Macaca fascicularis: one gene and its partner. The protein of the gene in region 1 interacts with the protein of each later gene in a pairwise test. Links are inferred from orthologs where the notes say so. Each region holds a gene or a part of one and is shown on either strand. Other genes may lie near its edges.

What was found.
Region 2: the proteins of GABARAPL2 (region 1) and RETREG1 interact in binary tests that used the Homo sapiens proteins (3 or more experiments, as listed by UniProt). The link is inferred for Macaca fascicularis from reciprocal best matches to the Homo sapiens genes GABARAPL2 and RETREG1.

What each region holds. Positions count from the first base shown.
Region 1 is NC_088394.1:71,416,067-71,420,664, reverse strand, and holds the start of GABARAPL2 (gamma-aminobutyric acid receptor-associated protein-like 2), read right to left. Parts: upstream 3,185-4,598; 5' UTR 3,076-3,184; coding exon 3,042-3,075; intron 2,712-3,041; coding exon 2,656-2,711; intron 1,522-2,655; coding exon 1,349-1,521; intron 1-1,348. UniProt on the Homo sapiens protein: Ubiquitin-like modifier involved in intra-Golgi traffic. Modulates intra-Golgi transport through coupling between NSF activity and SNAREs activation. It first stimulates the ATPase activity of NSF which in turn stimulates the association with GOSR1.
Region 2 is NC_088380.1:17,282,271-17,286,922, forward strand, and holds the start of RETREG1 (reticulophagy regulator 1), read right to left. Parts: upstream 3,008-4,652; 5' UTR 2,982-3,007; coding exon 2,662-2,981; intron 1-2,661. UniProt on the Homo sapiens protein: Endoplasmic reticulum (ER)-anchored autophagy regulator which mediates ER delivery into lysosomes through sequestration into autophagosomes.

The DNA.
Region 1 (4,598 bases):
AGAAGTTGCAGATGTTATGAAAGAAGATTACCTCCCCAAACACCTTAAGGAAAGCCCAGGGTAACCACGGATGCCCAAGGCTTCCTCCCCAGGTGAAGACACAGCCCAGAGGCCTGGGAAGGAAGGTTGGAAGAGCCCTATGGGTGACAAGATCACCTCAAGCAACACCACAGCTTCCAGAGCTACAGCTGTGGCAGACCAGTGGTGTCCAGTGGGCAGGCCCTGGGCTGTCTCCTCAGGTTGAACGCTGGCCTTAGGGAGGGAGCTTCCATTTCTCCCCTGCCTTTCTATCAGACACCAGGAAGTGGAGGTGGAGGACACTGGGAAAGAGGAAATCAGACCAAAAAATAGCCAGAGCTTTCCACCTTTAACAGAAGTAAGTAACTGGAATTTGGCAGAGGCCTCTTCTGGAGACTTCAAGGATTTTCAACAGGAACCTATGTGGGCAACATTGGGCTAGTTTCCAGGGCTTCTGAAAGCCTTCACTTTTAGAAGTATTACTTCTGGGGGTGGTATATGAAACCTACATTGGGTCACTAAGATAAGATGTGGCCAGGAACTCACACTCAGGGGAGAGGTGGGGGCCAGAATCTGGATCAGGGCCTAAAACTACCCACTCAGTAATGGGAAAGGACTGACTAGGATGTCAGACGGAGCCCCTCCATTTTCCTCTTTCCACAGGGGACTAAAGCTGGGCTATCAAATACACAGAAAAGGGGAATTCTAATGCCTCTGCCTACATTCAGGCCACAAGTTACAGTCCCAAAGACTGCTTCCAGGCAGCACAATAGTCTGACAGTCAAAGCAGGTGCTACCAAGGGAGGTATGAGTCTATAAAAAGACTTCAGAGCCCTTTACTGTGCAGCAGTCATTTTGTCAGACTTGAGGATCAGGCAGCTATAGACACTTACAATGTCAAAGAGTTGACCAAGTTTGGAAGCAAGCAAACTGGATGATTAACTGAGTGAGCCTCAGCAGGGCCCACAGGCTCCCAGTGGAGGAGCGTGCCAGGACTGCCTTCGGGAAAGAAAACCTCATTTCAGGCCTCAGTTCTACCTATAGCTTAAGCCTAAATAAGTTCTCAACTGTTTTAAAAGATTCTTGGAGATGTTAGGCTGAGTTTCATCATTTTTTTTAAAGTCCAGGCCTTGTTCTATTTTCTGAATCCAAAATGCACTCTTATGTATTGCAGCCATTATTTTCCTGGAGCCCCTGATGTCAGGGAGCACAAAATACAGATTTCTAGTCAGGACCCCTAAGAGTTTTCAGACTTCCAAAGGTTTGGAGTTTCGTAAGCAGCCAACCAGATGTCTAATACCAGAGGGCCCATCTAGTAAACACCTCTCACCTGGACTGTGGGACTGTCTTATCCACAAACAGGAAGATCGCCTTTTCAGAAGGAAGCTGGATCCTTTTCCTGATGATCCACATGAACTGAGCCACAGTGATATCAGATGGAACCAAGTACTTCCGTTTGTCAATGTCAACAATCTGAGAGCCTGAGACCTTTTCCACAATCACCTGGGAAAGTAAAGAGAGGTCAGGACTGCGTTTCCTAAAGGGAGGCTCTGGCCTCACATGGCTGAGGAGCTGACGAACAGAGTGTGGGCAAGGAGGTGGGTGGGAAACTGCATAGCAGGAGAAAATATGTCTTTGGCTTAATAAACCACATGCTCTGGAGGTTAAGAATTGATATAAATGTGTTATAGGGAAACGGTAAGTGCTTTTCTGTGGTCAATTATGTAAGAGAAATGCAGCCCTTACTACTAAGCTTTTCCACATTTTATCTGGGCAGACCTAAGAGTATCTGGGGAGGATTTCATCCATGGTCCGTTACTCTAGGACCCCAGAATGGATCCACCTTCACACTACAAGAAACACTACTGTGTTCCCAAGGAACACAGGAGACAAGAACGGATGGACTAATGGGAATGCCTGGAATTTCAGCCAGTCAAGAACCAAGCTCTTCATTTGGCCTGTTGCTCCTCTCTGAACAAGTTTCAAATCCGTCCCTCCTACTCCTTTCCTGAGACGAATTATTCACAAGCAAAGAGCTACAATAACAGGCCTTAATGTCCATTAAAAATTAATAAGGATTACAAAACTGTCTCCCCAACCATGAAAGAAATATAACATCATATTTATTATTGACTAAGAAGAAAACATGGCAGAAGGGTTTTCAGCGCTTTTCACATTATTTTGGTCAGGCAAGGATGACAGGGTCAAGGTGAGGTAACGGAGCTAGAAGTTAGGTAAAGATGGAGGCTCAAAGTAAAAGATGAACGTCCTGAGACTCAAGTACCACTTCCAAGACCAAAGTGACAGTCTCGCTCCACCACCATTCCCAAAAGTGGCAGTGACCTGTTGCCCTGTCCTAGAACATCGTTCCTTACATAATTGGCCAGGGAGCCCCGAGGCTGCAGACGGCTCGCTGGCCTAGATCGGGAGATTCAGCACTGAGGCACCCTGAACAGCACCAGCCCGAGCCCCTCACGCCCCGGCCCTGGAACGCCTCATCCCGGTCTGGCCTGTCAGTTACTATTAACTGGGACTGGAATCTCAACTTGTCAACTGTTGAATGGCCTGGGGCCTATTACGGGTCCCAGACGACAGAGGTGACAGCGAGGTGAGGGGGCGGAGAGTCCAAACACTCACCGGAACCCTGTCGGGATATTTCGCTCGAATCTTCGCGGACTCCACGCATCTGTGTTCTGTGGGAGAAACAAACAGGGCTGACGGCTGCGCCTGCCCCCCGGTCGGTTTCCGGCCCCCGGCCCTCCTCCTCCTGCGCCCTGCGCACAGCCCAGGCCCTGGTTCCGGCGTCCCTGCGGCCGCGGTCCTGTCCCCTACTGCTCCCAGCAGGGCCCGCGGAGGGTGACACGGGGTCAGGAGGCGGCTGCCCCAGGCACCAGGGCCTGGGCGACTCGAGACCGGAGCAGGGCATCCGCCCCACTCCACCCGAACCAGGGCCGCCACAGTGGGGGAGGGGGCCCACCCGCCGCCCCGGCCACCAGCAGCCCGGCCGACGGCCAAGTGCTTACCCAGCGAGTGGTCCTCCTTGAACATCCACTTCATGGCGGCGGCGGGAAAGGGACGGAACCGGCTCTCGGAGCCGCGGAGCTCAGCGCACCGACCACAACAACAACGACGGCAGCAGCGGTAGCGACGGCGGCGACTACACGGCAGGCGGGACTTCCGGCTGTCGGAGCCTAGCAACCGGTCGGGGGCGGGGCTTCCGGCGCTATTTGCCAGGACGCCGCGCCAAGGGGCCGGGCCGCAAGTAAAGGGGCGGGGCAGCGGATGGCCCCCTCGGAGGATCCTGGGCTACGGAGGTGATGAAGTTGGTTACGGGGACGTCTGTGAGCAGTATCTGCGACCCCAGGAAGGAATGTTCGGGGAACTGGTGACAGGAGTGGGGTCTCGGGAGCGTTGGTGGCGGGAAACGTCTGGCTGATAGTGTAGGGCTCTTACTGAGGGCTGTTTGGGGGTGTGGCTGATAGTTGAGAGCGCTTAGAGCGGTTCATAGGGAAAGTCTGAATGGGGAATTGGTGACAAGAACGGTCTTTAGGGGTAAGAATGACATGAGGGGTTTCTAGTGCTTGGCGATAACAAAGGAGCTGTTTAGGGCGTTGAAAGTTGGGGAGTATTGCTCGGAGGGGTGACAGATTGGGGGCTCAGTATGGTAGGGGTGGTGTTTGAGGACACTGTAGGAGGTGGCACTGAGGACAACCCGGAGGTACAGTATTAGGGACAGCTGTAATAGGTTGCCTTGGACCTAGAAATTGAATTTAAACAAATCCCATTTTCTTGCTTTATTCGTGAATAAATATTTGAATAAACATTTACGAAAAGGTATCACAAATGCACATTTGAGGCGGGGCGCGGTAGCTCACGCCTGTAATCCCAACACTTTGGGAGGCCGACGCGGGTGGATCACCTGAGGTCAGGAATTGGAGACCAACCTGGCCAACGTAGTGAAACCCCAAAAATTAGCCAGGCATGGTGGCGGGCGCCTGTAGTCCCAGCTCCTCGGGAGGCTGAGGCAGGAGAATCATTTGAACCACAGAGGTGGAGGTTGCAGTGAGCCAAGATCACACCACTGCACTCCAGCCTGGGCAACAGAGCAAGACTCTGCCTCAAAAAAAAAAAAAAAATGCACATTTGAGGAGTGTAACATCACTGATCACAGACCCCTTAATCTTAGCTGGCAGAGGAGTTAGAGGTGACTGTCAGATTCGGAGAATTCCCCTGAGAGCTGGTCATGAGATGGTTTTCCTCGTTTGGCTGTGGAAGTGGTTTAGCAATCACAGCCTGAGCTATGTGTGTGTCACCTGCCCGGACATATGCTTTGAGATTCTCCAGTCAGTGACGTAATGCCTTTTTTCCAAGCAGAGTCATCAAGGCAGTCTGGTGTGGGTCACCATCTGTTTATAAGCTGCTGAACATGTAGCAAGAATGTTCACTTAATTGGACACATGAACTCTGCCACGTGCTTGTGATTCTGATGCACCTGTAAAGCCTGTATGTTTGAACATGGTAGTTCATCATTTCCTACACTGGAAATTCCTGATTGATGCTGTGGAATCTAGCTTCATTCT
Region 2 (4,652 bases), on another chromosome or scaffold:
ATCTCTTTAAAAAGTTTATTTCTACAAAACTGAGATAACATCAATTAAAGTGAAAACAACATCCCATTGCTTAAGACAGATTTGGTTGGGTTCCTCATAGTTTTAAAACTGATTTTTTTTTTTTCTCATAGAAAATACAGTGCTTTAGAGTTCCCAAGACACGGAAGGTTAGAGTACCATATAATTTAAGATCAGTTGAGAAGACATACATTATTTAAAAAAAAGTAATGTCCTTGAAAATCATTTTAACCCCCAGAGCAACAAATAAAAGGGAAAAAAAACAAAACTTTAATGACATTAATAAATGGGTCATAAATTCCAATGAATTATAATGCAAAAGCAACAAGTAATTCTGAATTTAAAGAACAGGACAGTCATCATTGTCAAAGAAAATACATGCATGGAATGCAGATGCCACAAACAGGAGATGAAATAAAACAGATAAGGAGAAGGCTGTATCTAGGTGGAATGGCTGGCCAATGTTTTCCTCTCCATCAGTCATAAATAAAATGGTTGGAAGAAAACACCCCTGAATACTACCAAATATGCCTTTCAATTATTTTATGCAAAAACATTATTTTCAATAGGTGTCATTAAAGAAAACATCATAGAAAAAAAAAGTTGGCAACTCATGTTACAGAAATAGGCTAAAGTCTTTAATATAAAAACAGCTCCTATAAATCAGTAAGGAAAAGAACGATGGCCTACTTGAAAAAAATAGACAGGTTATTTATAAACAAAAATGCTGATAAAAGGTAACTGTAGTGGTTATTAAACATAAGATAAAATGCTCAGAGAATTGCAAAATAAAAACATTTTGGGATAGTCTTTTTCACCTATCAGATTTATAGGATCAAAAAGTTTCATAAAATATTCTTGGCAAGGGTGTAGCAAAGTAGGCAGTCACACACATTGCTGGTGGGAGTATCAATTGTTAGAATCCTAAGGAACTGCATGCAATATGGTGATAGCCATCAAAATTACAAGTGCACATGCCATCTGACCCAGCAATTCCACTTCTGGGAAGTTCTCTAAAATACTTGCATACATGCAAAATTATGCATGTACAGGGTCATTAGCTATAACGCTGAAATAGCAAAAGCTTGGAAACATTACTGCCTCAGTAGGAGACAGGTTAAGTAATTTGAGACATCCTTACAATAGAATTCTGAAGCAGCTGAAAAAGAACAAGGAAGCAATCACCAAGAAATACTAGGAAAAGGGAGAGCTCATATGGTATTCCACAATTTGCATAGAATATGGTGTATTTGCTGAAATGTGCACTATCTGGAAAGAGACACAGGAAACTAGTAACATTGGTTGCCTCCGTGAGGTAATTGGGCGGCCAGGGACTGGGATGAGAAAGAGATTTTCAAAATGCTTACCCTTTTGTACCTTTAAAACTTTTGAACTATGAGACTGTATTCGATTTTTAAAGAAATAAAATTTAAAATTAAGAAATAAAATGTTAAAAACATTGAAAACATTAGTGAGACACAGCCCTAAGACTATTAGACTATTGCCCAATCTAGCATAAGACAATATGTCCTTCTTATTTGAGTGCTCGCATAACTCCATAATAAGATAGATTTGGAATAAACTCTAGAAACACAGGTAGCTAAGAGACCCAAAGTTAATCCACTTTCAGGGACCTCCGACAAGACAGAGCTCGTTTTAAGAGAAAACACCAGGACAAGTAGAGATCTGCAGGAAATATTCACCTTGCTCAAGTTAACCTAGAAAATGACAGGCTATTTTGTGCAATTTATTTCTCAACTTTAAGGTTCAGAAATCTCTGTCCTGTAACAAGGTATCTGTCACCGGAGCTCTGATTATTCTGCACCGTGTGGGTCATGTTTGTTATAAGAACACTTAGAAAACAAAGAAAGCTTTTCTCCGCCCTCAATAGCGTGGTAACGGATGACAGGACGCCACTTTCAACGAAGGAGACAGACACTTCCCTGGCCTTCCTGGTGAAGAGCGCCTTTTGGAGAGACAAACCTGTTGCTCAAGAGCTGAGCATTCCCGTGTATTCTCCCTGTACTTCACCTAAAAATATACCTGTTTTCCACACTGGGCACACCCGGGGGTGGGTGCTGGGCATACTCCACCTGCTTGTTTGCCTCCCGTTTTCTCATCAGGGAATAAAGACAGTAAACCTAACCCTTCAGGGGAAGGAAAAACAAATCATTCGGGGTCCATCTCAGGTGACTGATGAATGTGGCACCGTTTTGAACGTGTACCTAATCTGGTCCAGATATGCCTGCTGGGGCCGCAAGAACGAAGACACGTTCAAGCATGTTTGCTCCCGCAAGCTTGGGCGAGCAGGTCAAGACCTGAGAGTTTTAGAAAGCAGGGGCGAAGTTTTCAAGTACGATGGGAACACCTGTAGGTGCAGGTGCCTGCGGGTCGGCCGACCACCTCGCATCTGAGGCTGGATCCCCACACGGAGGACGACAACTGCTCATAGGGACGTGCGTCCGGAGGAAAGTTGCGGTGAGTGTCTACCTGTTCGAGACCGGTGGCCGAGAAAGTGGGGCAGTGCTGACAATTCTTCCTCCGCAGTGTCCCGCGGGCTCCCCCTGCACTGGGTCCCCGGGGCCCCGGGCGCCCCAAGGTCACCTGCCCTCCTGAGCGCCCCCACCTTGCCCAAGCTCTCACCAGAACAGCAGGTTGGCAGCGACGAAGCCGAGCAGGCTCCGCAGCGGCCTCTTCCAGCTCAGCAGCTCGTCGGCGCGGCAGCCCAGCCACAGCACCGGCTCCCCAAGTAGCCAGGTTACCGCGGCAGCCGCCCGGCCCGCGGCCTCCTCCACCTGCAGCCCCTCGCCCTCCGCCGCCCCAGCCTCCTGCGCTTCCTCCTCCTGCTGCTGCCGCTCTCCGGGGGGTGCCTGGGGCGGCGGCGGCGACGGCGGCGCCTGCTCTTCGGCTGCGGGAGCTGGGCATCCCTCCGCGGCGTGCTCCGGAGGCGCCGGGCTCGCCATCTTCAGCTGGGCTTCCAGGCGGGGACGGGGCCGGGCGCGCGCGCGGGCGCGCCTGGGTGTGGGCGCCGAGGGCGGGGCGGCGGCGGCAGGTCCCGGAGCGGGGCGCGCACCGCGGGGCGCAGGCGGCTGGGGGCCTTGTGACGTCACGGGCCGCAGAGGGGGCGCCGCCCGGGGAAGTGGGTGCGGGCGAGTTCGCGCAGGGGCGGGGCCGGGGGCCGGGCGCCGGGGCTGGGCGGCGTCCCCGGGGGGCTCCGGGCTCCTCGAGGGCCTCTCCGGGGACACAAGGAAAACGACCTTCTTTTCTCTTGCAGCGGCGGGGGAGGGCGAAGTGGAGGACCGCTGCTCGGTTCCGTATCCAAAAGGGACCCAAGGCTACAGGCAAAATAGATTGGACATTTTCACTTTCTCAAGCCAGGGCCACCGGTCGCCCAACCAGCAGCCACTGAGGGTGGTATCGGGGCGCCCCTTCCCCTGGCAGCGTATTTCAGCCCCCAGAAACATCCCCCACCTCGGCCATCCCCAGTGCCTTTGCAGGGACAGCAGCACAACCATAGCAGAGGTCTTGGGCACCCTGGGAATAATGTGCTGGTGTAAATGTTGGATTGAGAAATGAAAAAGCATTTGGGATCAATCTGGGGCCCTCTCGTTTGACACGGGAGGAAACACCAGGCCGCAGCGTTGGGGGAAGCTGCTTCCTTTCTCTCTCTTCTTTCTCTTTCTCTCTCAGGTGCTTCCTTTCTCTCTTCTCTCTCTCTCTCCCTCCTTGTGGCTAGGTGATCTGGCTCAGACGCTCTCTCTCTTTCTCAGGTGCTTCCTTTCTCTTCTCTGTGTGTGTGTGTGTGTGTCTCTCTCTCCACTTCTCCCCCTTTCTCCCCCTCCTTGTGGCTAGGTGATGTGGCTCAGACTCTCTCTCTCTATCTCTTTCTCTCTCTCTCAGGTGCTTCCTTTCTCTCTCTCTTCTCTCTCTCTCTCTGTCTCTCTTCCTCCTTGTGGCTAGGTGATCTGGCTCAGAAGTGCACGTTGGTCCGCGCCTGCGGGGAGCTGAAAAGCAAAAGAATGGACCTGTGCACGTGTCAAGCAAGGTTTGGCCTGCTTTGAAGACAGTGATTTCAGAGCCACTCCGGCCTCTACGTCACAAGCAAGCATCACGGCAGTGGTGGGGCGGCAGGTGATCCTGAGACCTCCTATGCCATCTCTTTGGCCCCGGTGCTTCTGGGTGAGTGTGGGGAAAGAGGAAAAGAGTTCATGGTTTATGCTTTTCACCATTTGCATTTTTAAATTTTTGTTTTCTTTAATCTTCCTGGCCTTACTTTTACTCTAGAATGACAGGTCCTTCCCACTCATCCTAAGGGTTCTATCTGCGGATGAATCAGGGCATCTCATATCCCTTTACTGGCAACCAGCCTGCCTGCACAGGATGGAAGGGAGGGCAATTAAATTCTCTGCGTCAAGAGAGCCTCTGGGGGAATGTTCTGTAACGCTCCTCTGGGTGGTCATTGTAAACCTCTGTGTATACACATGCGGAATCCATTGATCTGTACATTCACTGCAGGTGTCTGTACTTTACTGTGTGTTGTACTTCAAAGGGGGTATATTCCCAGAGTCCATGCAAAGGCTTACTGAGCGCCTACCGAGTACACAAAGCATTGCTAAGCTCTGTGGATGCAGCTT